Sus scrofa: one gene and its partners. The protein of the gene in region 1 purifies or fractionates together with the protein of each later gene. This does not show direct contact. Links are inferred from orthologs where the notes say so. Each region holds a gene or a part of one and is shown in the gene's direction. Other genes may lie near its edges. The genes, in order: U2SURP, CHERP and SF3B1.

Region 1 (10,223 bases):
GCCTGCAAAACTTGTGATTAGATGTGTAGTATTTTCAATGCATATGTATATTTTTGCTTGTTACTTGTTAACAATACTCACATATTCTATGTTTATTATCTGATGTGACTTCATATACAGACTCTGTCGCAAGCCATAGTCAAAGTGGTTATCCCAACAGAAAGGTACATGTTTTTCTTTATTATTACTGATCTAAATATAGACAATATCCCCTTCTGAATTAAAAAAAAAGTGGTGTTGAGGAAAAGGTAATATCTTGACTGAGCAATGGTTCCTTCCCAGTACTTTGGGGGGGGCGTATGTGAAATTTAACTAACTTTAGTATACTTTGCAATTTTATGTCATTATCTTTTTTGTTTTTATTATTACCAATGTAGGGTTTTTATAGCTTTAGTAGTTAGAATGTGTTTAATAGATATAATCTGGGGTTGTTAGTCTAATATTAGACTGTTGTGGTAGGAAAATAGGTGTTTTAAATGTTTTAAATTTTAGATGTTACAATTTGATCCAATTTGTTATTTTTTTTCTTGTTTCTGAATTGTCTAATATGCAACCTTAGTTTGAGTTTTCCTTTCTGAAGGCATAGTTTTAATTTTTCCTAAATGATTTTAAGAAGGCATTTCTATTATTTTCATGAACACTGAACATATTAGAAACTTCTCATGATAACAAAGGTGTTTGGAATTCTTTTATTTTCTTTTCTTCCTTTTTTTATTTTTCAACATAATGTTAAAGCAGAAGAATTCATGCTCTAGGTATGCTCTTGCTCAGTCAAGCTAAGCCTTTTCCCAAACACAGGAACACAACACTGGTTGAATAATAAATGAACACAAAAGAATACCAAATTCTCTTTGACATTGGCCTTGGTGAGCAACACCAGCTGAACTGTCTGCGGCAGCGGGGGACCAGGAAAACATCATGGGATGGATTGGGAAAGTATACAGTTTTTGACCAGACATTGGTACGATCGACTCCAATAAATGTGGTTTTATTATAACTGAGAGACAATTTTTTTTTTTTTTTTTTTGTTGTTGTTGCCCAGAATAAGATAATTACCATTTTAAAATAAAATAATGCACTTTAAAATATATCATCTTTTTGTACTACACTGCTTCTTTCTGAAAAAAGTCACCCTTTTAAAAATAAGAAACACATCCTTAAGGAAAACAAGAGAGTGATTACAGTCCTTTAGTAATCTTGAATTTGAGTTACAACAACTAATTGTCAGATTTTGATTTTAAATAGTCATCAAACATTATAAAACTTCTTTTAAACGTTAAATTTTCTAAAAATAGATTTATCAGTTACAAGCCTGTTTAAAACTATAGTGGTTTTTCCACTGACAAAGCATTCATAGGAAAGTATTTTTGTAGCACTCAAAAAGCATATATCCAGTATTAGCTTTTCATGTGGCTTAGCTTATTTCTAAACAAAATTTTGAGTACACACTTTGTTGTAAAGTCTTGACTGACCATTACAATGAATCCTTTGTTTTAAACTTGCTAAACCATTTTTCATCTATCTTTAATATGCAAGTCAAGTTGCTTTTGACTTAATTCATACAAGTTTCTGGATGTATAGCATTTATCCACCTAGTAATTGATTTTATATATTATGATACATAAAATTTCCCTACCAGTGGGAGTTCAGAACTGAATCATAACTTTGCATTATTTCCCTTCTTCAAAACAATGTAATTAACCATATGGATGTTAAGAATACATTTTCATTTATACATCAAGAACTGCATATTTGCAGAGCAGTTAATACTTCTACAAAAGAAAAAGAATTTTTAAATTTAAAAATAAGTGATGCTTTTGGTTTTTTGTTTTTAACAATTTGAAATTGAATTCATTTTAAATATGTAGTTTTCCCTTTGTTAAAGACTTATTAAACTTTCATATAATTTTTTTGATCTCTTTTAGAAGGTCAAAGAAATTTTATTTTTTTCACTATGTAGAGATTTAAGTATCCACTTAAAAGTAGGTTTGTTTGAAAATTGTGAGAAAATAATTATCACCATGAGATATTTTACTGTTCATGTACTCTGAAGCAGGGTTTTATAGAGCCAAAAAATGTCTTATCCTATAACTATATATTTATTTATATTTTAGCAGTTATACGAACTTAATTTGATCTGGGAATGCTAAAGGTGTAACTTAGTGTGTGCCTTGTACCAAGAGCCAATATCCTTTTGCTTTTCCCGATTGTTATTTGCCAACTCTATATGCTGGGGACCCAGTGAAATGAGAAATCAGGAATAGCTGTAATAAGCTGAGCCACTTTTGCTTGACACTGTAATCAATGTCTAAAATTGGTGCTTGGAGTCTAATAAGGTGTTGGCTTCAGATTTAAAAAATAGACTTTCTATAAGCCCAAACAATAAAATTACAAAAGTTAAACACATATGTTTATTTCTGGATAAATATTGGAAAGTAATTGTTAAGAAAAATAGAAAGGACGTATTACTATGTCCCTTATTTTGGAATATTTTGGAAAGAGGACTCCATTCATTTAAGGCTTTGACAATATAACTGTTTTATTGATTCATAACACACAGGCAGAATTGTACTTGTCATGAACTGTGTGAACTAATTTGAAGTGTGGTCCAAAGGGATGTTGCCTCATTAAAGGTCAGATTCAATAAAACTCCATCTGCTACATGTGTACCAGAAAAGCACAGGAGTTGGATGGATTTTCTTTTATTAAATCAGGCCTTATACTTGTTAAATAGTTTTGCATTTTTATAAAATTATAGTCATGTATATAACTTTTCAATACCACCACAAAAGTGCTTGGTGTAGGAATGTTCTTTAAACTGAGATTAGTGTGTAAGTTTTTAGATGGCTATGATAACATATAAGTTCAAAGTTATGGATTTTATATATTTGCAGCTTTCCAGTTAGTTGTGACACATAATTTAATGTTTTGCATTTGGAAAATAAAATTAAGTGGCATTTAGAAATTGAAATCTTTATTACTATGAAGCTGTGTTGTGGTTTCCTACCCTCCCTTACCTTCCTCCCCCTCCCACTCCCTTATTCCTGTTGCCCCACTCCCTCTTAATGCACAAGGTGTTAACATATGCTCCAGGCTACTTTCTTGGTTTAAAATTCTGTATTAGTCAGCAGAATAATCTTTTTCTGCACAATTTTAGTAACTTAGTTCAAGTATAGTTTTATATAGTGGTAGGTCTGAATCCATTTTCTTTAACTGTGTTGTTGTTGTAGGAATTTGCTCGCCCTGATACATCGAATGATAGAGTTTGTTGTACGTGAAGGGCCAATGTTCGAAGCTATGATTATGAACAGAGAGATCAACAATCCTATGTTCAGGTATGCATTTTTTAAAATTGTGAGATTTACATATAACATGCAGTTTACCATTTTTACATGTAGCATTCCGTGGCATTAAGTACATTTATGTTGCTGTCAACTGTCACAACTTTTCTCATCTTCCATAACTGAAACTTGACCCCTTAAACAATAACTCCCCATTCCCTTTGTCCCTCAGCCTCTGGCAAACACCATTCTACTTTTCTCTCTCTTTGAATTTGATTACTCTAGGTACCTCATCTAAGTGGAATCATACCCTATTTGTACTTTGAGACTGGCTTATTTTACTTAGCGTAATGTCTTCAAGGTTTATCCTTGGTATAGCATGTGTCAGAATTTCCTTACTTTTTAAGGCTGAATAATATTCCATCACATGTACATACCACATTTTGTTTATCCTCAGGTGTGCATTTTAAAAAATGCTTTAAACTTGTTTCTTGAAATTAAGAATATTCCAAGAATAAAATTTGAAAAACAATGAGGTTTTTGTAATGGAGTGAGAAGGCACTTTTAGTAATTAGGCTAGAATTTGTGCTTGGATCAGTTTTCCAATGGTTTCAATGATTTAGTTAATTAAGTAGCATTGTTTTTAGCATTCTCTAGGAGGAAAATACTCTTCATTTTATTTTTCAGTGGAATCTGCTTTCATAAGCAGATTATGGTAAGATAAATGAGGTTTATAGGAAAGAGCTCATCTTCTGAATAGCAGTGATATCTAACATTTATTTACAATTTTAAATCATTTGAAAACCACTGCTTTTGAGATTTTATCTTGAGAAAACCTCTCCATTGCCAGACTCAGTATCTGACACATAAGTGTTTGATAAAACTGTAAGACTCAGCAGGGTGTGTGTATATCTTCTGAGTATTAATGTCAGTTACAAAGGTGGTCTGGGGTTGGGATGAGGATTTCTCTTAAGGGATATTTGCCTTTGATTTTATTTAGAACTAAATAAGCAGATATTTCTCATTTGTTTATATTTACTTGAAGGCAGTTCTCCATTAAAGAATATGATGTTTAATTTTTTGTTTTTAGATTCTTATTTGAAAACCAGACACCAGCCCATGTTTACTATAGGTGGAAGCTTTATTCTATTCTGCAGGTAAGTATAAACAATTACTTTGTTAATTTTGACTCTGAGGTATTAGAACTTTGTAATAACATTGTGGATGCTTATTAGGGAGATTCTCCAACTAAGTGGCGGACGGAAGATTTTCGTATGTTCAAAAATGGATCGTTTTGGAGGCCACCACCATTAAATCCATACCTGCATGGGATGTCAGAAGAGCAGGAAACAGAAGCTTTTGTGGAGGAGCCTAGTAAAAAGGGAGCACTTAAGGAAGAGTAAGGCTTTTTCCTTTCTGTTATATATTCAGAAAAGTTGTTTCAATGGTCATTTTAAATAATGGTCTTACTAAGATAATGTTAACTCTAAAATGGTTTCTAAAATTTGTGAATGTTTAAAAGAGTAACATCACTTGACATAACACATTGTAATTTTACACATTTTGATAAGTATAAGTATGTGTCCTATTGAACTTGACTTCTTTCTGCTGGTAAAAATTAATGGTGATCTCTTAAGTGATGGTCCTTTAGCAGTGGAATTCTTTATATTCTTATAGAAATTCTCAGGGCCTTTAGAATTCTTGCCTCTCTGTAACATAAAGAGAAAAAATTATCATATGGCTTAGTGGAGTCAGATGGGTGACTGCAAAGCTTCATCATGGAGTGTAATATGTGGCCACTCTGGAAGTGTATATTATTAAGTGCTCAGTCAGCATTGTTATAATGCAGTTAGCCTGGTTTAAGAAGCAGAAGCAGATTTAACGTTCAGAGGAAGTTCTGCGTACCTGATGGGAAAAAAGGCTAAAGTAATTTTTAGTTTACAGGATTATATACTTCACTGTATAGTCCATAAATCTTAATACTAGTTGCATTGATGCATTGTTTGTGAGAATATTTGCTAATAGATAATTATACTGTCTGAGAGTGTATTTGCTTCTGAAGCTGTATGTTCATCATTACTTTTGCCCAGGGATCTGCTTACTCAGTCCATAGAGTAAATCTGGCTGCCTCTTGTTTTCATAAATAAAGTTTTTCTTGGACACAACTATACCCACTCCTTTACATGTATGGTTGCTTTTGTGTTACAGCAGCAAAGTTGAGGAACTGACAGAGACTCTATGGCCTTCATAGCCTAAAATATTTCTCTCTGGGCCTTTCTTTACAGGAAAAGTTTGTCAATCCTTGATTTGTAGCTTGTCCTCATCCTATGCATAGGATATACTTTAACAGACTTCCTTGAAAGGAGAGTGAAAAATATGAAGGTTTTTTTTTTTTTTTTCTTTTCTCTCCAGTGTAATAGGATAGTAGGACTGGGACACTCTCAAAGACTCTTGAAAAAATACCTATAATTTTAAATTTGCTTAATTTGTAAACTGTGAAAGTCACTGAAATAATTTATTAGTTCCTGAAAAAATATCCTTCCCCATATAAGTTTTCCAAAAAAATTGTAACATTTGGAATATGTAACACAAATCAGACTTAACACAATTTAGTCTTCAGAATTTTATCTGACTGTGTTTTAAAGACAATAGTTTGTCAGTAGGAACTATAATGGCGTTTAAAGTTTGTATCTATAAATATTTATAAGTTAAAAAATTTGTATTCAGACAGAGGGACAAATTAGAAGAAATTCTGCGGGGGTTAACGCCAAGGAAAAATGATATTGGAGATGCAATGGTTTTCTGTCTTAATAATGCTGAAGCTGCTGAAGAAATAGTAGATTGCATTACTGAGTCATTGTCCATCTTAAAGACACCCCTTCCCAAAAAGGTATGGGAATGATTTCTCTTTGTGGAACTTCTAAGTAAAAGATAATAGTTGATTTCTTTTGGGATTGAAATTGGTTTCTGTTTTAAATGAAAGACTTAACTGAAGAAATCTTTCCCATGCAGTTTTATTTTCCTTCTGCTTGGGGAGGTTGGATGATACTCAAGTTACCAACAGGTTGAAATATAAATGAATGACAGGTTTTATCCCTATCAAAGTCATGGTGTAGTGATACCGAATTTCTTATAGCTTGTCTAATTAGTTATGATTTTTAAATCATAGGTAAACATCAGCCTTAAGATCTTGATTCAAAAAATTTGAATAAGGGATTTTTTTTAAAAGATATATTTTCTGTTGATTTTTATTTTTAATCTGTTTTGTGTTACCTTTTGGCTTTCTAGATTGCCAGATTATATTTGGTTTCTGATGTGTTATACAACTCTTCAGCCAAAGTTGCCAATGCTTCCTATTATAGAAAATTGTAAGTATAGTGGTGTAAGCAGATATTCCTAAAATAAAATATTTAAGGGTAAGGAGCTCAAAAAAGAGGATAGTTTTTGATAATTAATACCCTCAATAATAAGAAATTTGAATTTCTACATAGTTGTAGAATTTTCAAAAAAATTGGATTGTGTTGAACTAAACTGTATTCATCTCTTGATAAACTTGATAATAGAACAAATAGGAAGAGTCAAAATATGACTTTATTTCTATTGCATATTTAGTCACTTGTATAATAAATAAGCTGAAACAGTAGAAGTAATGGCAAATATAAATAACTCTTCCTCAGTTCCCCTGAGTTCCTTTTTGGTGTTAGGGAAGCCTTTCTTTAGAAACTGACTCTGAAGAGAAATTTAGATATATTGGTCCTAATCTTAATTCTGCTTAATTTTGTGGACTAGGTGGACTACTATCCTGGCTGTGAAGTTTGTTTTTGATCAAGGGAACTAGTTCTTAAAACTCTAGGAGATTTTGTAGAAGAAAATTTCAGAATAATAGGTGTTAAAGTTATAGTTTTAAAGTTTAAACACCTAGTTCTTGAATTACTTGATTATTTATGAAATTTAAAAAGTCTAGAAGTGGTTTTCGTTGGCTAGCATGCTGAAGTGGATAGGGATTTTAAAGCAAATTCTATTGTAAAAGATATATTATTTGAATTTCAGTTTTGAAACAAAGTTATGTCAGATATTTTCAGACCTCAATGCTACCTATCGTACAATTCAAGGCCATTTACAGTCTGAAAACTTCAAGGTACGTTTATTGTTTGATTATTTTTGTCCTGCTGTTTTAAATGAGACATGGAGGCAAGGAAGCACATTGGAGGGCTAGAAGAGTATTAAGCCAAGTGTAAGACATAACTTACATGTTTGAAAAATTGTTGTAAAATTTACTGCCGTTTTGGAGATCCCATTGTGGCTCAGCAGGTTAAGGACCCTATGTTGTCTTTGTGAAGATGTGGGTTCAATCTCTGGCCTCAGTGGGTTAAGGATCCAGTGTTGTCGAAAGCTGTGGTGATTCAACTCCTGGCCCAGGAACCTCCATGTGCCGCAGGTGCAGCTATTAAAAAAAAAAAAAAAAAAAAATTTACTACCATTTTACTTTCAGTATCAAAAAAATCTGAAATTTTAAAATATATCTAGTTAGATTATTTGGTGTCTGTTTTAGTTTTAAGAATTTTATTTAAGTTATAAGTCTTCTCTTCACAGAAAACATTCAGAAGTTTACCTGTTTTGTAGTGGTATATCTAATTTGGCCCAATTAGGAATATACATTTTAGTTATTCATGTTTAGAAAGTATATTCAGTTATTAATTTTTTAATAAAGCTGCTCTTAATCTGTAGACCAATGTTAAGCCAAAAGAAAATACTTGTAGTTGAAAAAAATAAGTATACTTTCTTGAAAAGAAGATTGATTAAGGAAATTTTAAGCTTGAGAACATGCCCAAAGATCCCACCATTTAGGGGGATCAAACAAGCAACTTCATTAAAAAATTTTTGACCTTAAATTTTGATCATAAAACAGCTTATAGAAAAGTTGAAGGATGGGATAGAGAATAAAGCTAGAATCAGGAAGTACTTCATCAGACCTTAAAGGAATTCAGATCAAAACTTGGCTACCTTGATATCCAACTTTCTTAAGTTTCTTAGCTAGTATTTCCTAGAATGTGACCTCATGTGTACCACCAGTGGTATGGGACCTTGATCTTTGATGGCCAAGAGCAAACAGTTACTGTTTGTTTTTTATTTGTTCTTAGTTTCTGTCCCCTTTAAATTGGGAAGTAATACTGATTTTTAAAAAAGATATTGTAAATATTTGTCCTCTGAATTTTAAAAAGAATATTGGTTTAAAGGAAAATACAGCAACTTGTGATGGTACTTGATCATGAGCTAAGTTTGATATGTGTTGCCCTAAAAAATAATTCATTGTCTTTTTCCTATTAGCAACGGGTAATGACCTGCTTTAGAGCGTGGGAAGATTGGGCAATTTATCCAGAACCATTTTTGATCAAACTACAAAATATTTTCTTAGGACTTGTAAATATTATTGAAGAAAAGGAAACAGAGGTAGGCACTCAGTGTATTTGTCTGATTACCTTAAAATTTATTTCTGGGGATGCTGTGGAGGTGTGATGTATTACAGATATGAATAACATTTCCTTGTGAAAAATACCTATTTACCATTAAATAGTGGATTTGTTCCTGGAATTGCTGGATCCCAGGAGCTGAAATGACTTGTAACAAGGCTTCTCTGTTTTGTGTCCTTATGTGAAACTTGATGACTTTTTTTTTAATTTGATGACATGGAAAGATTTATTGCATATTAGTAGAAAAATGAGTAATAGAGCAATATATGTAGCATGGTTTCATTTTGTTAAACTAAGGATAGCTATGTAAGTAAATATGTAAAGAAAATGCACCACAGTGATAGCAGATTCTGTTTATCACCATTCTGTTTTTTTTTTTTTTTTTTTACCTCCTCAATAGTTCTTAAAGCCTTTATCTTCATTTCTACCATCCTAACCCAGCTATCTCTTGTCACTTTCACTCTACAAGTTACTTCTTAGTGGCTTCCCTGCTCTGACCACATGGTGTTTGTATCAGTTTTTTAACTATGTTTCCTCTTAGCATAGACCTTTGTACCCATTCTTTCCTCTTTCTGGAACACCTCCTCTTTACCTGAAACCCTTCAGAGTTTAGTTTGGGCATAAATTCATTGAACCATCTCAGACTTTTTAGGTGGAACCAACTTATTACACATTCTAATAATGTGATACATCTCTTTGTTGTAGTAGTCATTGTATATTGTTGTGATTGTCTGATTGCCTGCTCCTTCTCTACACTTCTGCCCACACTCCTCCATCTCCCAATTCTACTAATCTCTGTGACAGGAAGGACTAAGGACCAAAGCCTGATTTTTGCTTATCATTGTATCCTTAGTGCCTCACATGGTACTTGGCATCATTAAGTACTTGGTAAATATTAAGTACTTGGTAAATATTGCACAAATGGGGAGTTTCCATTGTGGCTCAGTGGGTTAAGAACCTGACTAGTATCCATGAGGATGTTGGTTCAATCCCTGGCCTCATTCAGTGGATTAAGGAGTTGGCATTGCTCCAAGGTACAGCATTATAGATGCAGCTTGGATCTGGCGTTGCTGTGGCTGTGGCGTAGGCCTGCGGCTATGGCTCAGATTAGACCCCTAGCCTGGGAACTTCCATATGCTGTGAGTGTGGCCCTAAAAAGAGCCTCCCCCCAAAAAAAACACAATTGCACAAATGACTGCTGCTTTTTCAGACTGGACAATTAAAAATATATTCTTATTATGTCCTCACATTTTACCTGGGAATGTGAATATCCAGCTGGTTGGTTTATACTGGATTGGATTGCAAATTAATCATTTAGCAATATGACTTTTATTAAGCCAGAAAGAAAATATTACAGTAGTTATTACAGTAGTGTGTGAATTCGTAGGATGTACCAGATGACCTTGATGGTGCCCCCATTGAGGAAGAGCTTGATGGTGCACCTCTAGAAGATGTGGATGGAATTCCTATT
Region 2 (10,223 bases), on another chromosome or scaffold:
GCCTCCTGGACGCACCTCACCTCGTATTTTCCGCACCGCCGCCTCGCTGGGAGAAAATAGGGCACTGACTAGCGCAGTAACTCCCCAGGGCCCCTAGTCCTACGGAAGAATCTACTGCCCAAGTCCTCGCATTGCAACACGTAACGTGGGAAAACGCCCCAAGAGCAGCTAACGGCCGCCTGCACCGTTCCAGCCGTTCCCTCGCGTCGCGCTACAGAAGTCCATTCCGCACATGCGCGGGAAAGCCCCTGCGCGTGCGTGGTGCTCGCCCCTCCGTGCGTTCGGCCCCTCGCGGCTTCTTCCCGCCTGCCTCGTTTCCTCACTTCCGGGGTTTCCTGGCGACGGCCGTAAGTGGCGGGCGGAAGCAGCGCGCGAAGCCAGTCGTAAAAGGCTCCCTCGCGCCACTTCCGGCCGGCTTCCGCAGACGGCCCTGGTGGGCGATCGTGAGGCGCCGGAGGACGTTCCCCGCGGCTGGAGCCATGGAGATGCCGCTGCCGCCTGATGGTGAGGCCCAGCCTGGGCTCGAAGGCTGTTTCTCTCTCCCCGGAATCCCCTGTTGGCCTACCTCGCCTCCCGGGGTCCCCGGGCCTAGGAGGGGGCGGGGCTCGGCCTCCGGGGTCCGCCTGCGGCCTCTCCCGCGGGTTCCCGCATTCTCGGCGCGCTTCTGGCCCCTATCGGGACCCGTACAAAGGCGGCCTTTCCCGGACCCACCCCTAGGGACCCCCGGCCCAGCAGACGCGGGCTGGGACGACAGGGCCCCCGAATTTGGGCGGTTCTCGCTGACGCCCCGCGTGGCCTTTTCTCCGTCCTCCAGACCAGGAGCTCCGAAATGTCATCGACAAGCTGGCCCAGTTCGTGGCTCGGAATGGGCCCGAATTTGAAAAGATGACGATGGAGAAGCAGAAGGACAACCCAAAATTTTCGTTTCTGTTCGGAGGAGAGTTCTACAGTTACTATAAGTGCAAGTTGGCGCTGGAGCAGCAGCAGCGTGAGTTCTCTTGCTCTCCGGCCGTCCTCTCCAGCGATTCCTTTCTGATTCCATTTCGGGCTCTGCCACAGACCGCCTTTTTTTAAATCGCTTGTTCTTCTGGGAATATGGATTAGCTCGGTCTTCACGGTCCCATTCGCTGTTCCCGGGGCTCTGCACCCGTGCGGCAGCTGGGTCCCAGTGTAATGGAGAACGGGGTTATCGATCCTTTTGCTGGGCTCCAGATCAGGGTTTACTCTTGTTTTGCAAACGTGATGACTGAGGTCAGGAAGGTAGTGACTACTTCAGCGGTTTCCAGGGAGGAAGTAGTAGAAGCCAGATTGGGTGAGACCCTTGGGGCAAATACTGTCCAGCGAGGTTTTTGTGCATTTTAAGATGGTTGTAGCCTAGATCAAAAATGAGTTGTTTCGTGGGTATTAGTTCTTGGTATCAAAATTCCAACCCTCTTCTAAAAGAGCTTAAGATGGGGTTGGTTAACACAGTTGGTCTCTGAATAACAGATAATCACCAGGTAGTAAAGATCCCTGAACCCACATCTGCCCTGTTCAGTAGTGAATCCTTAGCTTCCAGATATGTTGTGTTCTAGATTGCCAAGTAGATGGACATTGAAAGGTGGATGCTCCCTGAACTACAAGTTCCCCACGGCCAACCGGGCCTTGTTTGGCATTGTTGTGCCTAATAGGTAGCACGTAGTAGGTGTTCAATAAAGAGTTCATAGGACACAGCAAAGGTTCAATGGCTTGAACAAGCACAGTGTGTTTTGAGAGCGGAAAGAAACCTCAGTCATCACGTTTGCAAACACAGTGTGTTGTGAGCAGCCCAGCATGGCTGGAGTTTTGATGTGTGTCGACAGGGTCGGGTTTGATCTGGAGTGGTAAATGCCAGGGAAAAGCTTGGGTTTTCTTCTTTAGTCTGGTGTTCTTCTGGTGCCTGTGTATGTTTGAGATGAGGGTGGAGGAGGTCTGTTGCCTGAAAATGTTGGGTTTTGGGTGACTTGTATGGAGGACAGATTGGAGGGAGCATTGAGTGGAGTCTAGGACCAGTTTGGTGGTAAAATCTGAATTAAGTTGGCAGGTCGAGTAGAGAATGTGGGCCTGGGGACAGTTGGGGTTAAAGGGAAGGGCCAGTTGGATATTGAAGCAGGTGGCATAATTGGGCAGGGGAGGACAGTGTTTTGGCTCCGGTTCCTGTGAGGTGAGAGATGCTTTCCCTGCAAGGGGAGCCTATTCCCATCCTGGAAGGTCAGAAATCAGGACCTTCTTGGGACGTGGTGCTATAATGGGGGTTGGGATGCTTCTGGAAGGGAATGGGGCTCAGAAAGTGTTTTATGTAGGTAACTGTTGCCATTAAAGTTCAAGTCATTTAGCTGATGGGAACTGACGAGACAAGTGTGTTCAGGCTGAGGAACACGCCTGAGGAGGGGTTGGGGAGAGAGGGGACAAGAGCTCAGGGTGCCTGGAGCCCAGAGAAGGAGGGATTCTTGGGGTGGCCAGAAGGGAGGGTGCAGAGCAGGTAGGGCTGGTTTGCCAAGGATTCAGGAATTCTGGAGGCTTTTGGGGAGCTCTTGAAGGGTTTCAAGACTATGTTCTGGAGCAGGGTTAGCCACTGTGTAGCCCGCCCTTCACCCTGGTAGTCTGAGAAGATTGAGACCCTTGACTGCTCTAGCATGTTGCCCCACAGACTGTGGTAACGGACTGGTTTTTGTTTTTAACAATTTGCTGTGAAAAGTACAGTTTTGCACAGTAGAAACATGAACCATGAAATATCAAATTGCTTTAAAAGTGCCAAAACGCTCTCTTGGCATTTCTGTGCTTGTTTATAGTCTCGGTATCACCTGGGGTGCCTTTTGGACCACACTTGAGCAACGGTACTACAGCTGTGAGTGGGGGGGACAGGAGTGGACACAGCACAGGAAACCAGTTCCCAGGGTGATACAGGTGACAGCAGAGTTATGGTGGTGATGGCAGAGACATGGACAGGTTGGCATGTGATCTAGGGGAGTACCTTGACTACAGTTTAGTATGAGCTGCAAGGAAGAGAGGTGTCTAGACTTTCTTGGCTTCTGGCTTGAGTATATGGACGTAGCTGTGCCAGCCACAGGTCAGGAGGGGGACTTTGGAAGGGGTAGGGCACAGGGTGAGGGGAAAGTGATGCCTATAGAGAGCAGTGGGCTGTTTGGTCTGTAATGAGACCCAAAGCTTGAGGAACCCAGGATGACAGTGATAGTTTATGGGGTAGTAGGGTGCAGACTGTAACTGCAGCCCCAGGAGTATATCATGTTTCCCTGGGGGCTTACTTGGAAAAGAGGACTTAGTTCACAAACTGGGCATAAGGGTCAGACAGAGGAAGGAGGGGCCAAGGAGACAGCTATACCAGCCACGTGAGACAAGGAGCTGAGATGAGGCCGTGGGGCTGAGTGAGGATGACCCCCAGAACTTTGGCTTTGGCTATGGGGGTGGGGTGGGCAGACAGAGCCAGTCCTCCATGGGTTGAGATCAAGGGGAGACGGAGAATTGTTAAGAGAGGTGGGTGGGGTGATGGGAATTTTGGGGTGTTTGTTTTGTTTTTTATGGCCTCACCTGTGGCAAATAGAAGTTTCCAGGCCAGCGATTGGATTTGAGCTGCAGCTGTGACCTACGCCACAGCTGTGGCAAGGCTAGATCCTTAACCCACAGGATTGAACCTGTGCCTCTGCCACAACCAGAGCTGCTGCAGTCGGATTCTTAACTCACTGCACCACAGTGGGAACTCCTGTGAAAAGGGAGTTTTTATGGATAGGAGACACGGGTGTGTTTAAATACTGCTGGGGAGGAGTCAGTAGAGAGAGAAAATGAAAGGAGAACTAGGGAACAGATTCCTAGGAGGGCAGAGTGGGTGAGATCTAGGGCACAAGTTAGGAGATCATCCCCCCTGCCTCACACCTGAGCAGCAGTAGGGCCCCCTGTGATGAGCCCTGGGTGATACCTTCCACCCGCTGTCCCTTCTTTGGCTTTGTCAAAAGTCGGGGCCCCCTTAGGGTGGGACTCAGAAGGGCTCCAGCAGTGCATGGTCACACTCAGACTGGACAAGGCCCAAATGCTGAGAGGGGGTCTTCTTGTCCAGAGACCCTTCCCATCTCTTCTGATGAATGCAAGGCAGGAACCCACCCCATCCGGGATCCTGCCAGCAGGATGGAGCATCCAATGCCGCCTCCATCTGGATTGATCTTTTAAGGCAGAGGGGCCTCCTTCTCTGAATAGAGTCAGTGGAAGGAAGGCTAGGGGTGGGGTGTGGAGAGGCCACAGCATGTGTCTGGGGTGCCACAGTCAGTCATCCAGAGGTCCAGTGGCTTTGATGTCTTGAAAGGGAAGAGTAGCCTGGGGGCCTCAGGCCTTGGAGTTTGCTGCTGCTGAGGAGGCTGGAGGTTGAGAGACCCCTTGGAGAGGCTGTTTCTCCAGCAGTGCCTTGGTCTCTGTTCAGCATTGGTTTAGGCCTAGCCAAGGTGTGGAGAGGGTGGTGAGGGATAGGCTCAGGCTTCCTCTGGCCCAAAGGACAGTGGGCAAAGCCAAACAGTGTTGGCTAGAGAGTGGTGAGGTCTCCAAGAAGAAGACGGGCAGGAAGGGGGTAGGTCAGATAGAAGCGGTCTCAGGCTAAGCACTGGGAGACTGGGGGCAGGCGTGGCCACGGTGCATTTCAGGGGTCCTCTTTATTGGGTGGTGAGTACAGGATGGGGAGCCATTGTGGCTTAGAGCTGCCCCAGAGGCAGCCAAGGGGACATCTGGACCCCGGCCACCTCCTCACAGAGTCCACCTCTCCTCCCCTCCTGCCAGTCATCTGCAAGCAGCAGGCCCCAGAGCTAGAGCCAGCTGCCGCCCTGCCACCCCTGCCACAGCCCCCGCTGGCCCCTGCTGCACCCATCCCACCAACGCAGGGCACCCCGTCCATGGACGAGCTTATCCAGCAGAGCCAATGGAACCTGCAGCAGCAGGAGCAGCACCTGCTGGCCCTCAGACAGGTATGGGCCCAGTCCTTCCCCCCACCAGTCCAGAGCCTGCCCCCCTTCCTCTCTCTTCCTGAGGCGGGTTCCCGGAGCTCACCCTCTGTGCCTCAGTTTTTGCATTGGTACCTTGGCGCTAATGATAGATGGCACTGCTGAGGAAGGGGACTCCTGTTGCCCAGGGCTTGGTTCATGACAGTTGTTATCCCTCCAGTGCTGCTAGCACCCATGCTGTGTTTAGCTCGACCCCTGATGCTGGACACTGAGGTTGCTTCTTATCCCAGTGAGATCATTGCACGAGCTCTAAAACACGCACACGCATTGTGCTAAGTGGATGCCAACAAATGGGGCCGCAAGTTAGAAATTGTGTGACAGAATGCCAGGTGGCGTCTGGTGCCATTGGCACCAGCCCCTGCTAGTTAGATTGCCCCAAGCTATTGTAGGGAAGGTCTTTTTTGTCCTAGTCCATCACAATCTGATACTTTGGCCAAAGAGAATAGGATGAATTGATAGAAAAATGAAGTGAATAAAAAATGAAAAAAAAAAAGAATAAAAAATAAAAAATAAGAAGTCAAGATAGAGAGTTACTGTTGTATAACTTTAAAAAACACATATATATACATGTATATTCCAGAACACTCAACCTCAGTTTCCGCACAGGGCTCATCACAGACTGGGCAGTCCAGCCTCGGCCAGCCCTGGGCTGACCGCTTGTCCCCCAGCAGCACTGGATCTTAGCCATGTCTCATTTTGCCAACCTAATGGGCAAAAGCCCGGTGGCATCTTTTAATTTCCAGTTCCCTGATTGTTAGTGAGGTTGCTCTTTTACTGGACTGGTAACCATTTATATGTTCCCTCTATACTGTGTTCACTCCTGTTGCTCATGTTTCTTTCTTTTTTTGGTGAATCAATGTTCAGAGGTTCCTTGTTCCTCTGGGCCTTAATCTTTCTGTCACCCCAGAGAGACCATCTCCCCCTGTATCTTGTCTGACTTTATCCTTTGCCTGTTCTGCCTCCTGTGGCAGGACTCACAGATGCATGTCTTGGGCTTCCGGCATGAGGGATAGGTTAGACCTACTTGGGCTGGGGGCAGAACACTGATGTGCCAGCCTGGAAGGGCCCAGGGCCGAGGCCTCTCCTAACGCAGTCTCGGTCCCACCTGGCCTCCCAGGAGCAGGTAACAGCGGCTGTGGCCCATGCAGTGGAGCAGCAGATGCAGAAGCTCCTGGAGGAGACCCAGCTGGACATGAATGAGTTTGACAACCTGCTGCAGCCCATCATTGACACCTGCACTAAAGACGCCATCTCGGTGAGAACAGGGGAGGCGTTCCCAGAACTTGCTACTCCCTTCTGGGGCCAGGGCTACTCTAAAGGCATTCTGTCTCCTTTCCCCACTTTTCCCTCTGGAGCACTTCCCTGGGCTTCCTCCAACCAAGAAAGAGACAGAAGGTGGGCAGAGGTGACAGGGTTTGCGCACATTTTCAGCCCAGGGAGGCCTGGCCCCTCTTACCCACTGCCCCGGCTTTGCAGGCCGGGAAGAACTGGATGTTCAGCAACGCCAAGTCCCCGCCCCACTGCGAGCTGATGGCGGGCCACCTCCGGAACCGCATCACGGCTGACGGAGCACACTTTGAGCTGCGGCTGCACCTCATCTACTTGATCAATGATGTCCTGCATCACTGGTGAGGGCCCCGCCAGCTCCACCTCCCTCCTGCTCCCTCTCCTTCTCTTGGCCACTGCTCTGCAGTCAGTAGTCTGGCCTATCCTGGAACTGGGGATCACTCTTCCAAAGTCCCTGGGGGAGGGTCAGTCTCAGCCACAAATTCTCCATCAGGAGGACACTCATCCCCCACAGCTTGGCCCCTACCCAGACCCCTCATCCCCCCCTGGGGCCACTGACCTCTCGCTCCTTGTTCTCCTCAGGGCAGCTTCTGGTGTTTTTCAGTGTCTGTCAGCTGCCAGCTCCCTTTCCCTGACCTACACACCCGCCCAGTCACTTGATTCTGCTTTAGGAATCTTCCCGTAGGGTCCCCTTGGCTAGACCTCTGTTCCACTCCACCGAGAAGGGCCCCCACCTCCCTAGCTCTCCCAAGACAGGAAGGTCCTACTTCCGCATGGTCTCTTTGGCACCTAATGACAAAAGTTAATTTAAGAAACCAGGTGCCTGGGCCAGAGAGAGGCAGAAGCATGCGGTGCTAGCAAGGCTAGTGTGTCGCTGTGAAGACTGGCTGCCACATTTGACTTTGAACTTGGCTGGCCGAAGGGAGGGTTCCCATGAGGGCAACAGAATCAGACCCAGGTCTTACCCTGTCTTCTGCCCACATGCAGCCGATGTCACCCCTCCCCGCTTCCTTTGCCACGCGGGTGGTTCCATTTTCTCACTCAGCTCTCCCTGCGTCGCCTTCCCTTCTCTGCCATTGGGAAATAAGCAGCTGTCTGGAACCTTGTCTGCCCTCCTGTTCACCAGCCGCTCCGCTGACTGGGCAGCTCTGCGGAGGCGGCCCTGTTTGTGGCACTTCTCCAGCCATACTCTTCCTAAGCCTCAGTCTGTCTGGAAGCCCAGTGCCACTTGCCCTGTCCTCCTGGCCCGACTGTCCTCCCTCCCCTCCCCCCGCTTCCCAGCCCCAGGCACTTGCTGCTCTCCGGTGAGCTCTGCGAGGGGAGAGGTTCCAGCTGTCCACCCTCCTTCCCATGTCCTCCCCTGGGATGGGATGTGCTGTCCAGACTCTGCCACTTCAGTGCACAGTCACAGGGGCCTCCACACCCATTTATGCACAGAGCCCCCCCAGAGGCCAGGCCTCAGGCTCCTAGGCACCTGGCAGCTCACATATTCCCTTTGCCTCCTGGAAAGCAGGGTCTTAGGTTTCCTGTGTGGAGGGGGTGACAGTGCTGAGCGAGGCTAGGTGGACAGGGCCCTGAGCCCACAACAGCCGTGGCTTGGTCTTTGTGGACAGCCTCTACCTGTCTATCCTCAAGCCCCCTTGAGACAGAAGGGTTATTTTACTGATGAGGGGACCAGGGTGACAGATTTTGCTGTGAAGGTCCCCAGGCTGTGTTCTTTCCCTCCTCCCATTGCCATGGATCTGTCACTTGGGCCCAGGCGCCAGCACAGGTCTTGTGGGGGGCTCAGCCCTTGTCCCGGCTGGGTTGGGGGCCCATTTCCCGAAAAGGCAGAGGGTGCTGTGGCTGGAGCCGCGATGGTAACGGGCACGTGGCCGGGTCCCGCCCCAGGGCCCTGACGCGCGGAAGGTCTCTCCCTCACAGCCAGCGCAAGCAGGCCAGGGAGCTGCTGGCCGCCCTGCAGAAGGTCGTGGTGCCCATCTACTGTACCAGCTTCTTGGCTGTGGAGGAGGACAAGCAGCAGAAGATCGCTCGGGTACATGGGTCAGCCGGAAGGGGCAGGGGAGGTGGGCGAGGGCTTCTCAGGGCACTTGTTTTCCCCCTGACGCGGCTTCTCCCTCCTCCCCCACATCCAGCTACTGCAGCTCTGGGAGAAGAATGGCTACTTTGACGACTCCATCATCCAACAGTTACAGAGCCCAGCCCTGGGGCTCGGCCAGTACCAGGTGAGTGCCACCACCATTGGCATGGCTCCCTGGGGCCAGGGTGGGTGCCCCTGGAGTGTGTGGCCACTGCCACCCCAGCACCTTCCCAGAAGTCATGGGACCTGGTTTCCCCACCCAGGCTGGGAGCCGCCAGTGGCGTGGTGACCTCAGAATTCTAGGAGTTTCTGTCTGTGGCTCAGTGGTTAGCGGACCCAGCTAGCATCCATGAGGACATGGGTTCAATCCCTGACCTTGCTCAGTGGCTTAAGGATCCTGCGTTGCCATGAGCTGTGGTATAGGTTGCAGATGTGGCTTGGATCCATCGTTGCTGTGGCTGTGGTGTAGGCCGGCAGCTATAGATCCGATTGGACCCCTAGCCTGGGAACCTCTATATGCCGTGGGCACAGCCCTAAAGACGAAAAAGACCCCCCCCCCAAAAAAAAGAAAAATTCTGGTAGCTTTTTCCCAACTGGGCTTCCAGGTGTGCCCCTGGGTTGGTAGTGGGAGGTGGGTCTGAGGAGCGGCTTCCGGGGACGCCCCCAACCCACCCAATTTAGAGCCAGTGAGCCCTTCCTAGGTGAGCCCACCAGACTTTTTTCTTGTGACGAGACTTAATGACCAGGTTGTCTGGTTTAGGTACTCCTCTTTGTAGTGTCTTTGGCCTGTTTGCTCTGGTCCTCCATGCATGATGGGAGTGTGAGGAAACCCCAGTGTAATCTGGGCTGCCATAGTCATCGTGTCACCTGTGACCCCTGTGCACACATCTGCACCTGTGACCCCTGTGCACAGTCATCGTGTCACCTGTGACCCCTGTGCACACATCTGCTTCTGAGGGGGCACCTGCTCAGAGGACAGGGTCGCAGGGCAGGAAAGGAGGGCTGGCTCTCCTTGGTCACCTCTGCTTTGGCCCTGGCATTGCTACCCCATCTACAGCTGCTAGGATAAAAGGCACAGCTCACACCCCATTTTCTCAGGCCAGAGGATGTTGTCATCTTGTAAAGGTCTGATTGACCGTCAGAAGCTCTGTGTTGATTGTGTCCTCTGTCATGTTTCTGACCTGCACCTTCCCCCACAGGGGAGAAGCTTTCATGCTCAGAAAAGCAAACAAGGGGAGTTCCCGTCGTGGCTCAGTGGTTAACGAATCCAACTAGGAACCATGAAGTTGCGGGTTCGATCCCTGGCCTTGCTCAGTGGGTTAAGGATCCAGCGTTGCCGTGAGCTGTGCTGTAGGTTGCAGATGTGGCTCGGAACCCATGTTGCTGTGGCTCTGGCGAAGGCCGGTGGCTACAGCTCCGATGAGATCCCTAGCCTGGGAACCTCCATATGCCACAGGAGCGGCCCAAGAAATGGCAAAAAGACAAAAAAAAAAAAAAAAAAAAAAAGCAAACAAGGGAAGTGCATTTCAGACTTGCACTAAATTTTACCCACTTTTTAAAATTGCTGAATAAAAGACAGGCTCATACCACAGTGACATTCACTGCATTTCTCCTCTTGAGTTGGTGGTAGCAGCCGCCCTAGTCCTTTTCACTGAATTTTTCTCTGATCCTTAGATTTAGGTCCCATTATTGTCCCATTTTACAGATGAGGAAATTGAGGCTCCAGGGAAGTTATGACGTGCCCAAAGCCATACAAGGTGTAAGAAGTACAGCCTGTAGACATGTCCTAGGATGTTTGTCAGTGGTGGGATTTTAATGTCTGTGTGGCAGTCCAGGGC
Region 3 (10,223 bases), on another chromosome or scaffold:
TTTTCAACCTTTCAGGTGGTAAAGCAGTGTTGTGGAACAGATGGTGTAGAAGCAAACTACATTAAAACAGAGATCCTCCCTCCCTTTTTTAAACACTTCTGGCAACATAGAATGGCTTTGGATAGAAGAAATTACCGACAGGTAAGCCTTTGCTGAAGAAAAAAAGTTTTCAAAAATCCTTTCAGCTGATCCTTTAGTCTAATTCGAATGCATATTACATAAATATCTTTTGCTTTGTGAACTTTATAGGTTGGTTGTGCTTGATTGTCAAGGAGATGGATTTTAGCCAAAATTAACTTCCCTTTTGATTTTGCATTCTAGGATAAATAACCAACTACAAATTGACATTTTAGTAAATGAAGTCCTTAATCTGGATAGGTGAAGCATGAATACAAATTTAACCTTAAATTACCTTGATTTAGACTTAATTTAAATTTTTTGGTCACCTTTCTCTTAAAAGTTTTTATAATATAAGTCAGTTGTTCTCAGCATATTACTAGCTAAGTAGTATCTTTAGAATATTCCATTTTCATGATGTCTCTTTATTTCCTTGAAAAAGCAATGAATTACATGATTGCTTTCCTTCTTTTTAGTTAGTTGATACTACTGTGGAGTTGGCAAACAAAGTAGGTGCAGCAGAAATTATATCCAGGATTGTGGATGATCTGAAAGATGAAGCTGAACAGTACAGAAAAATGGTCATGGAGACAATTGAGAAAATTATGGGCAACTTGGGGGCAGCAGATATTGATCATAAACTTGAAGAACAGCTGATTGATGGTATTCTTTATGCTTTCCAAGAACAGACTACAGAGGTAATGACACTAATTATTACAGCAAGTTGCCACTGACTTTCATATTTGTAAAACATTTTCAAGCAAGTATTATTACTTTATAAGTAATTAAATTTGAAATAATTTTGGCGTTCACACTGTGGCACAGTGTGTTAAGAATCCAGCTCTAGTGGCTTGGGTCCCTGTGGATGTGCAGGTTCAATCCCAGCTTGGCGCAGAGTTAAAGGATCTGGCATTGCCCCAGCTGTGGCAGAGGTCACAGCAGTGGCTCAGATTCAACCCCTGGCCGGGGAACTTCCATATGTGGCCATAAAATTAAAAAAAAATTTTTTTGGAAATAATTTTTTGAAATGCTCATGTTATCTTTTAGTTGGCTACAAAGGAATATCTTCTACCTTAAGTTTTTAGATTAGAATTTTGAAAAGTGAATATTAGTATGTTTCAACTGTTCAGTCACAAACTAAATGCTTATTCACATTGAATGTGGTTTTTAAATTTAACTTGGCTTTTCTTTTTTTTTCCTGTTTAGGACTCAGTAATGTTGAACGGCTTTGGCACAGTGGTCAATGCTCTTGGCAAACGAGTCAAACCTTATTTGCCTCAGATCTGTGGTACAGTTTTGTGGCGTTTAAATAACAAATCAGCAAAGGTTAGGCAACAGGCAGCTGACTTGATATCTCGAACGGCTGTTGTCATGAAGACTTGTCAAGAGGTAAACTTTTGTATCAGATTTTTATTTCTTCACTGAAAGGAGTAATGTACACAGTAACATTTAACACTTTTTTTTTTTTTTTTACTATTACAGGAAAAATTGATGGGTCACTTGGGTGTTGTTTTGTATGAGTATTTGGGTGAAGAGTACCCTGAAGTATTGGGCAGCATTCTTGGAGCACTGAAGGCCATTGTAAATGTAATAGGTATGGAATTTGCTGGTCATGTAAGATTTTTTATTTTTAATTTGCTTTGTTTTTTGAAGGTAAAATTACAGAATCCTGTTTAGGAGTTGAGTAATGAATAATGTCTGATTTTTTTTTTTTTTTTTTAAACTAATGAAAATTACAGTTAACGTGGGATGTCGCTAGAGTCTTATTTCCCAAAACCCATTTATATTTTACTTTAAAAGAGAAAAGAGGGCAAATTTAGGACCTTCAAGAGAGGAGGGAATAGTCTCAACTCAAAAAATTTTGAAGTTTTGTGATGACCCTAATAATAATACCTCACCTGAAATATATGGGGGGAGAGGTAGAAGGTGGAGAGAACCCTGAAATTTTAATTTTAGGACTAAATATTATATATTTATTCCACCTTAAATTAGTAAATGGTTATGGTAGGTTTTCCTGGTTGCTATCAAGTTCAAGGAACAATAACCAGGGAGAAAAATGAATTGATCAAGTAACCTCACTTTTATTTATATCCATTTCTTTAAAATTGTCTATTCAGCTTTTTAACCCAAGTTAAAACACAGGTATATTACAAATGCTCTTTGGTGTGTAGAACAGGAGCAAATGTCTCGTGTTTTATCCTTCATTTTATTGAACATAACTATTGCAAAAATAACTGCAGAGTTTAAAGGGGCAGAAATAACCTATCAGGAGGTCAATATAGCTGGCTGTGATAGCCACTGTTTTTTCTCATTTTAGCAAGGGGTTTTGATGCAATACAGGAGATCGTTGAACCATTGCATTTACATATAATCCCTAATTCAGCCCGGTGCTCTATACTTGGAGATACTTGCCAAAAATCAGTTACTTGGCTACTTGAGGGACTCTGATTTGTAGGGAATTGTAAACCATATTGTTTGTAAGAAAACATGGGAAAAGCAATGGAGAGAGAATCAGAGCAAGCAGTTCTAGTTAGAGCAAGAGCCCCTGCCAGCTGCCTCCTTTTTTCTCTCTTCATAGGTGTAAATACCATCCAAGTATGCCCTGCATTGCAGGGAGACTGGAGATCTGTTTGTTTTGCAGTTAAAGGGTAAGGGGGCCCTTTCTGGAAAATTTTGCTTTAATTTATATGTCTACCTCTGGCTTATATTGTTTTGTATGGCCGGAACTTAAGATGTCCCCATATTTAAATGTCAGTGTACAAATACATTTCAGAACCAAATAAAACTTTTTTGTTGTTGAGTATCCATCATTTCTTTAAATCACTTCACTAATTTCTTTCATTTCTGCATAATCAGAAGTTGTTAATAAAAAGTTAAAAAAAAATCCTGCATTTGGTCAGAATCTGGGGCATTTTCTTTTCCATAGGCAGCTGTAAGTTTATTTATGCCTAGTCATGTATATTATATTGCTAAATAAAAAGTAAAGTGAACAGAAGTTGCAGTTCTAATGTTAATTGATAGTGTGTTGACTTCTATTAATTAGGTATGCATAAGATGACACCGCCAATTAAAGATCTGCTGCCTAGACTCACTCCCATCTTAAAGAATAGGCATGAAAAAGTGCAAGAGAATTGTATTGATCTTGTTGGACGTATTGCTGATAGGTAAGCAGATTACCTAAACATTTCTATAAATGGTATTATTGGCTTTCACATTTATTCACTTTCAAATTTGTTTAATGTTGCTAATGTAAGTAAATAGGCTTCAGTTTGGATTGTCATAAGGAAATGGAGGTATATTTTTAAATCTAAATCATCCTGGATTTCCTGTCGTGGCTCAGTGGTTAACGAATCCAACTAGGAACCATGAGGTTGCGGGTTTGATCCCTGGCCTTGCTCAGTGGGTTAAGGATCTGGCCTTGCCATGAGCTGTGGTGTAGGCCGGCAGCTGTAGCTCCGATGAGACCTCTAGCCTGGGAACCTCCATATGCCATGGGTGCAGCCCTAGAAAAAGAAAAAAAATTAAAGCACTCTTTCTGAACATTAATAACATTTTTATTTAATGCTTAAAATGTATTGGTAATCATATTTACCTTTTAAAACTTCTCATCACAAAAAAATTTTACTTTTTTTAAAATCAGGGGAGCTGAATATGTGTCTGCAAGAGAATGGATGAGGATTTGCTTTGAGCTTTTAGAGCTCTTAAAAGCTCACAAAAAAGCTATTCGTAGAGCCACAGTCAACACATTTGGCTATATTGCAAAGGCCATTGGGTGAGTATTATTTACTTCTATGTTTTTTTATTTTTACTTTCATTGTGTTGAAAAGATACTTCTACTTCTGAAGAAATTTTTTTTTTTAAGCGATCTCTTTTAAGGAATGGTTTGAGTAATGCAGTAAGAATGGCCTTTAACAACACTGACCTTCAATTTTTGAAAATTTCTTTAAATTTTAAGTGGAATTAAAATAGATGGAAGCATTTAAAATTTCATTTAATCACACTTACTGTTTTCAGAGAGGGAAACTACCATTTCTGAATAATTTCAAATTTTGTTGGTCCTTTTAGAATATTGCTTAAAATGTTAAGGCCAGTTCCTAGTAAAACAATTACCAAAATTCACTTCTCATGTTAATGCTTTATGTGTTTTAAAAATATTTTTCTAAAATAAATCTACAGACAACTGAATTATAGCTATTTTATTAGATAATATAAATACAACCACTCACCAGAAGCAAAGGAGAAGAAACATTTGTTGTAGAAAATGAGATACTTATGTACCTGTGGCTTAATAACAAAGAAAATACTTTCAGGCAATAAAACAAAAGTCGGATTAATTAGAGTCTCCTTACCCTCCTTTTGATAGCAGTAATGTTTATTTCACCTAGCTTGTAAACAGATTTGCAATGAATAGCTTTTGTGCCAACTTTTTTAGTTCCTATGTCCCTCTAAGTTTGTGGTAAAATAAATGTATAAAGGAGAATAAAGATAATAAAGGTGCGTGGGAGGGAAGATAAAAGTAAACCAGATTTTTGCTGTGGCACGGAAGACTGCTGTTGAGGATACTGTTGTAAGGTTGCCCACCTCTAGTGGCCATGTTCTGACCACACAAAGACTTCTCAATTTAAGCATTTAATGAAGTTTCTTTGTATTTTAAGAAGTTTCCTAACGACTGTAAGTTACATTTGAAAATGAGTATATTTGAATTTTTTCATTAAAATGAACATTTTAATTTAAATGAAGTTCTTCAGTAGAAACAATAATGCCAGTGATGTGAAAAGTATTGTATTTTATCATAAAATTACCAAGTTCATAAAGTTTCATTCAGTTGCATTTTTTTCTTCCCTCTGAAAAGTTTTGACTTGTAATTTAACAATTTGTTGACACATTTATTTTTTTCCAGCCCTCATGATGTATTGGCTACACTTTTGAACAACCTCAAAGTTCAGGAAAGGCAGAACAGAGTTTGTACCACTGTAGCAATTGCTATTGTTGCTGAAACATGTTCACCCTTCACAGTACTACCTGCCTTAATGAATGAATACAGAGTTCCTGAACTGAATGTTCAAAATGGAGTGTTAAAATCACTTTCCTTCTTGTTTGAATATATTGGTGAAATGGGAAAGGACTACATTTATGCTGTAACACCATTACTTGAAGATGCTTTAATGGATAGGTAAGTAAGTGACTTGAACTAAATTCAAGAAAATAGTTAAAATTCTTACATTTTAGAACTTACTGAAATAATTATTACATGACCTGTTTGTTGTGATGCAGCCGAAGTAGGGCTTACTGGCCTGGATTTTTATGAAACTGTAAACATGACTGTTATCTTCAAATAAAATACATGCTATAGTTGTTCCCCAAATTTTCTTTTCCAAGTGCCCTTCCCCTTTTCATATCTATTAGACTAAATACATTTTGAAAAGCAGTAACTGTTCAGTTTTTGTTTTAAAAATTAAGTCAAATATAGAGGAATTGATGAGTGTGAGCTTATCAGTGTGTCAGAACCAGTCTTTTTAGCTTTTTGTTGTGGCAGGTGAAGCTGAGATTTCTGTTAGGATTTTGAACTACTGAGTGTAGCCTCCCAGACCCACACTATTCCCATTGCAAGCCCCCAATTAAACAGATGGTGACCACCGATAAGTTCGCCTTGAGATGATTGAGAGAGTCCTGAAACCTTTACTATCTAAACAGACACAATAGGAGTTTCCGTCTTGGTGCAGCAGAATCGAATCTGACTAGGAACCGTGAGGTTGTGGGTTCAATCCCTGGCTTTACTCAGTGGGTTAAGGATCCAGCATTGCTCTGAGCTGTGGTGTAGGTCACAGATGTGGCTCGCATCGTGTTGCTGTGCCTCTGGTGTAAGGCCAGTGGCTACATTTCTGATTTGACCCCTAGCCTGGGAACCTGCAAGTGCTGTGGCTGTGGCCCTAAAAAGACCAAAGTAAATAAATAAACTGACGTAATAGCTTTAAACACAAAAGTAGTTAAAAACTTGTAAACTGGGGAAATAACAATTAAAAAAAATTTTTTTTAAAAGAGCATGTAAAGGAAAGTTAAAGGTCCAAAGTAGTAAGGGAACGGACTGTTTCACTGGCTCTTTATTTTTCAGGAAAGATAAGGAAGAGCCCATTCATTTACTTTTGTGTGCATATTAAAGTTACTTACTAAAAAAAGTTATTTATTAATGATCTTCCAAAAGGGAGACTAACAGGACTCAACAGGTTATCCCAGGGCATATATGGAAGATACTGAGACAGAATAAGAATCGCATTCTATAAAAGCTTGGCCATCTGAGGTCCAGTAAAGTGGGAGTAAATCATACTTTCCCAAATTCAGTGAGATGTGCCTGAGCTTCATAGTGTGACCACTGATGTATGTGATCTGCAGTTAAAAATTATGTTCTGTGGAGTTCCCTGAGTGGCACAGTGGGTTAATAAGGATCTGGTATTTTCATTGCTATGTCGAGGGTGCAATCCCTGGCCCCAGAACTTTACATGCTATATATAGGTGTGGCAGAAATAAAAAATTTATGTTTTGGGAGTTCCCGTCGTGGCGCAGTGGTTAATGAATCCGACTAGGAACCATGAGGTTGCGGGTTCAGTCCCTGCCCTTGCTCAGTGGGTTAACGATCCGGCGTTGCCGTGAGCTGTGGTGTAGATCGTGTAGATTGCAGACGCGGAGGCTCGGATCCCGCATTGTTGTGGCTCTGGCGTAGGCCGGTGGCTACAGCTCCGACTGGACCCCTAGCCTGGGAACCTCCATATGCCGTGGGAGCGGCCCAAGAAATAGCAAAAAGACAAAAAAAAAAAAAAAAAAAGAGAGAGAGAATTACTGGTCCTTCTATTCCTTTCCCCAAGTTGAGAATGAAACTTAAAATTTTTTTTATAAGGAAAGGGGCTTAATCTCAATTTAGTTATCTATTGTATGCCGATATTGAAATACTTGAAATACTTTAGAAGATTTTAAATTTATGATGTTTTGGAGTTCCCATTGTGGCTCAACAGAAACAAATCTGACTACTATCCATGAGGATGCAGGTTCAATCCCTGGCCTCTCAGTGGGTAAAGGATCTGGCATTGAGTGAGCATTAGTGTAGGTCACAGACATGGCTCAGATCCCATGTTGCTGTGGCTGTGGTGTAGGCCAGCAGCTGTAGCTCTGATTTGACCCCTAGCCTGGGAACCTCCATATGCCACAGGGGCGGCCCTAAAATACTAAATAAATAAATAAATAAATAAAGTTACAGTTTAAAATGAGATATTACTGTTAATCACTTGTATGTACAGTCATATAACCCTTTTAGTAGCATACAAAAATGTACATTGCACCGAGCTTTCTTAGCTCATTACTTCCAAAGCAAAATAAATGTGGTTTGTTTTTGAGCCATAGTGAGGTTTGAGTTATTACAGCAAAAGTCTCAATTAGTCTCTATAAAAGCATTCTACATCACATACATACCGTGTGAGGATGACTCTCAATCCATTCTATGCAGTGAATTTGTGATTTAGTTTCAATGGACAGGCAGGTATTTTCTGTAAAACTAAGACTGTATCTTAACACAGAGCATTTTTCCCCTTCCATTTCAGGGACCTTGTACATAGACAGACGGCTAGTGCGGTGGTGCAACACATGTCACTTGGGGTTTATGGATTTGGTTGTGAAGATTCGCTGAATCACTTGTTGAACTATGTATGGCCCAATGTGTTTGAGACCTCTCCCCATGTAATTCAGGCAGTTATGGGGGCCCTGGAGGGTCTGAGAGTTGCTATTGGACCATGTAGAATGCTGCAGTATTGTTTACAGGTAGGTTACAGATTTTTTAAAGTGTGCTTGTTGAAAAAAATAATTTAGTTGAATTAATTTACTGTTCCTAATTATCAACGGGATGTGCCCTTTGGGAAAACGGTTATCTGGGGAAGGAGGATTAGATATTGTCCTTTCCTACTGCAATTTTGTGCAGTTGTTAGGTTTTTCCCCCTCTAAAGGGAAATGTTTACAGCCATATATATGGTTAGTTTGTTAGTTATGCTAAAGTTATGTATTTCTTGAAATAATGCAACGTTTTTAATTATTCCAGGGTTTGTTTCACCCAGCCCGGAAAGTCAGAGATGTGTACTGGAAAATTTACAACTCCATCTACATTGGTTCACAGGATGCTCTCATAGCACATTACCCAAGAATCTACAATGATGATAAGAATACTTATATTCGTTATGAACTTGACTATATCTTATAACTTTATTGTTAAATTTTGTGTTTAATGCACAGCTGTTTCACAACTTAAACTTGCTTCGATTTGGTGATGTAAACTTTTAAACATTGCAGATCAGCGTAGAACTGGTCATAGAAGAAGAGCTAGAAATCCAGTAGCATGATTTTTTAAATAACCTGTCTTTGTTTTTGATGTAAACAGTAAACGCCAGTAGTGACCAAGAACACAGTGATACACACATTATACTGGAGGGATTTCATTTGTAATTCATCTTTATGAAGATTTAGAATTCATTCCTTATGTTTAAAGGGAATGTTTAATTGAGAAATAAACATTTGTGTACAAAATGCTAATAACTTGTGTGTGTTTTTTAAACATGACTTGTAAAATGCGGAACTTTGATCAAGTATTGGTTTGTGTAGAATAAGTGGCTTAATTATCATTTTCTGTCACCTGGTTTATAGAACGTAGTTAGCAGAATACAAACTATATAAAGTGATGGCATCTTTGTCAAAATTCCATTGTTCTGTTGATAATGACATTAAGAAGAGTAGCTTTGGGGGTGTTCACCTCAAACTAGCACAACCCTTACATCATCATAGAAAATATAGCACCTTTGCTGAACTGTCTTGAAATTATTTTGCACTTACATAGCGCCTTTCATCTCCTGTTTTCTCAAAATGCTTTATGAACATGTTTAGGGAAGTGAACTGTGTTTAGAATATGACCTTGGTATCTTCAAAACTGCTTTTTACCTATTGGGAGTGAGGCTACTAAGTAATGCTACTTAGAATAAAATAATCTTTGGGCTCTTTTCTGTTGTCATAAGCCACTACTCAGCAGTTTATCCAGCACACACCGATGAGCATCTTCTGTATACCAGCCATTGTGCTTAGTTGTAAGGGATGCAAATGTGCTTTTGACCTGCCCCTTGACCTTAAGAAATGCAGTATAACGGAAAAGGGAGACATCTAGTTTTAGATTACTTATGTGCCAATGGTAAACAATGGCAGTGGCTGGGTTTGCTTAGTTTTACATTTATTAATCAGATAATAAATTGATCTGTAAGTATGAAGCATAAACTGAAATGCCATTTAATTCTGGAAGAACCAAGCATTATGGCTGTAGCTTTTTGTGTAGTAAAGTATGTTTTCAGTTTTTCCTAATTTTCTGGCCAAAAATGTTTTAGTCATTTTACTTCTTTAGCTGTTTTATTTTGTCTTCTTATGTAATAGTACTTCTGTGAACTTTAATGGGAATAGACCTGCAGCAGCCTAAGCATAGGATGACTGCCACAAGTAGGTAAAACCAGTATACTAAGAATAGGAGGTTTATCCTTCAACTATTAATTCTCAGGGCTCCCTGTTTGGGAAGCTTACTTGAGAAACAGCTTTATAATTGGCTGACTTGTACAAAATTGATACTGAGCATTAGCTAACTCTCCAGGCAAAATTTTTTGTAACTCTGTTGTTTATGGTGTGATGAAACTTTGTGACAAGTCAGTGTGTACTAAATTTCCAAAGTCATCTTTCTATTTTTAGAAGTTTTTCTAATAATAGCCACCTTACAACTTTAAATCTTGTTGTTTGTTCTCTATTATACTTGATGTCAAATTAACCCTCAGTTATTATGCTAATCATGAAAATTGAAGAATACAATTAGATTTCAGAGCCAAAGTTTGATTTTTAAACAAGTCTTGGGTTAGTTACACTTTCATGTCAAGTACTTGCATACTTTCAATTTGCTTGGGCCCTTACTCTATGTTAAACATCCATGCTTTGTAGTGGCACTGTGAAGCAAAGGCTGTACCATAAGTGGAAAAATTTGAGAACAGCAGTGAGGCAAGTATTAAAGCCTACAATCTTAAAAGTTGGGACCAAATAGAGGCTTA

The links.
Region 2: the proteins of U2SURP (region 1) and CHERP purify together in Homo sapiens (affinity purification with mass spectrometry; 4 studies listed by BioGRID and IntAct, with this or other methods). This does not show direct contact. The link is inferred for Sus scrofa from reciprocal best matches to the Homo sapiens genes U2SURP and CHERP.
Region 3: the proteins of U2SURP (region 1) and SF3B1 purify together in Homo sapiens (affinity purification with mass spectrometry; 4 studies listed by BioGRID and IntAct, with this or other methods). This does not show direct contact. The link is inferred for Sus scrofa from reciprocal best matches to the Homo sapiens genes U2SURP and SF3B1.

Annotation. Positions count from the first base shown.
Region 1 is NC_010455.5:83,728,749-83,738,971, forward strand, and holds part of U2SURP (U2 snRNP-associated SURP motif-containing protein), read left to right. Parts: intron 1-120; coding exon 121-164; intron 165-3,230; coding exon 3,231-3,335; intron 3,336-4,371; coding exon 4,372-4,438; intron 4,439-4,516; coding exon 4,517-4,680; intron 4,681-6,008; coding exon 6,009-6,171; intron 6,172-6,569; coding exon 6,570-6,649; intron 6,650-7,331; coding exon 7,332-7,419; intron 7,420-8,609; coding exon 8,610-8,732; intron 8,733-10,139; coding exon 10,140-10,223.
Region 2 is NC_010444.4:61,062,601-61,072,823, forward strand, and holds the start of CHERP (calcium homeostasis endoplasmic reticulum protein), read left to right. Parts: upstream 1-359; 5' UTR 360-479; coding exon 480-504; intron 505-814; coding exon 815-988; intron 989-4,797; coding exon 4,798-4,982; intron 4,983-6,135; coding exon 6,136-6,273; intron 6,274-6,494; coding exon 6,495-6,646; intron 6,647-8,195; coding exon 8,196-8,340; intron 8,341-8,440; coding exon 8,441-8,530; intron 8,531-10,223. UniProt on the Homo sapiens protein: Involved in calcium homeostasis, growth and proliferation.
Region 3 is NC_010457.5:101,275,310-101,285,532, reverse strand, and holds part of SF3B1 (splicing factor 3B subunit 1), read left to right. Parts: intron 1-15; coding exon 16-141; intron 142-593; coding exon 594-815; intron 816-1,323; coding exon 1,324-1,506; intron 1,507-1,599; coding exon 1,600-1,711; exon of another isoform or gene 1,712-2,765; intron 2,766-3,160; coding exon 3,161-3,281; intron 3,282-3,757; coding exon 3,758-3,889; intron 3,890-5,017; coding exon 5,018-5,290; intron 5,291-7,706; coding exon 7,707-7,923; intron 7,924-8,197; coding exon 8,198-8,356; 3' UTR 8,357-10,223. UniProt on the Homo sapiens protein: Component of the 17S U2 SnRNP complex of the spliceosome, a large ribonucleoprotein complex that removes introns from transcribed pre-mRNAs.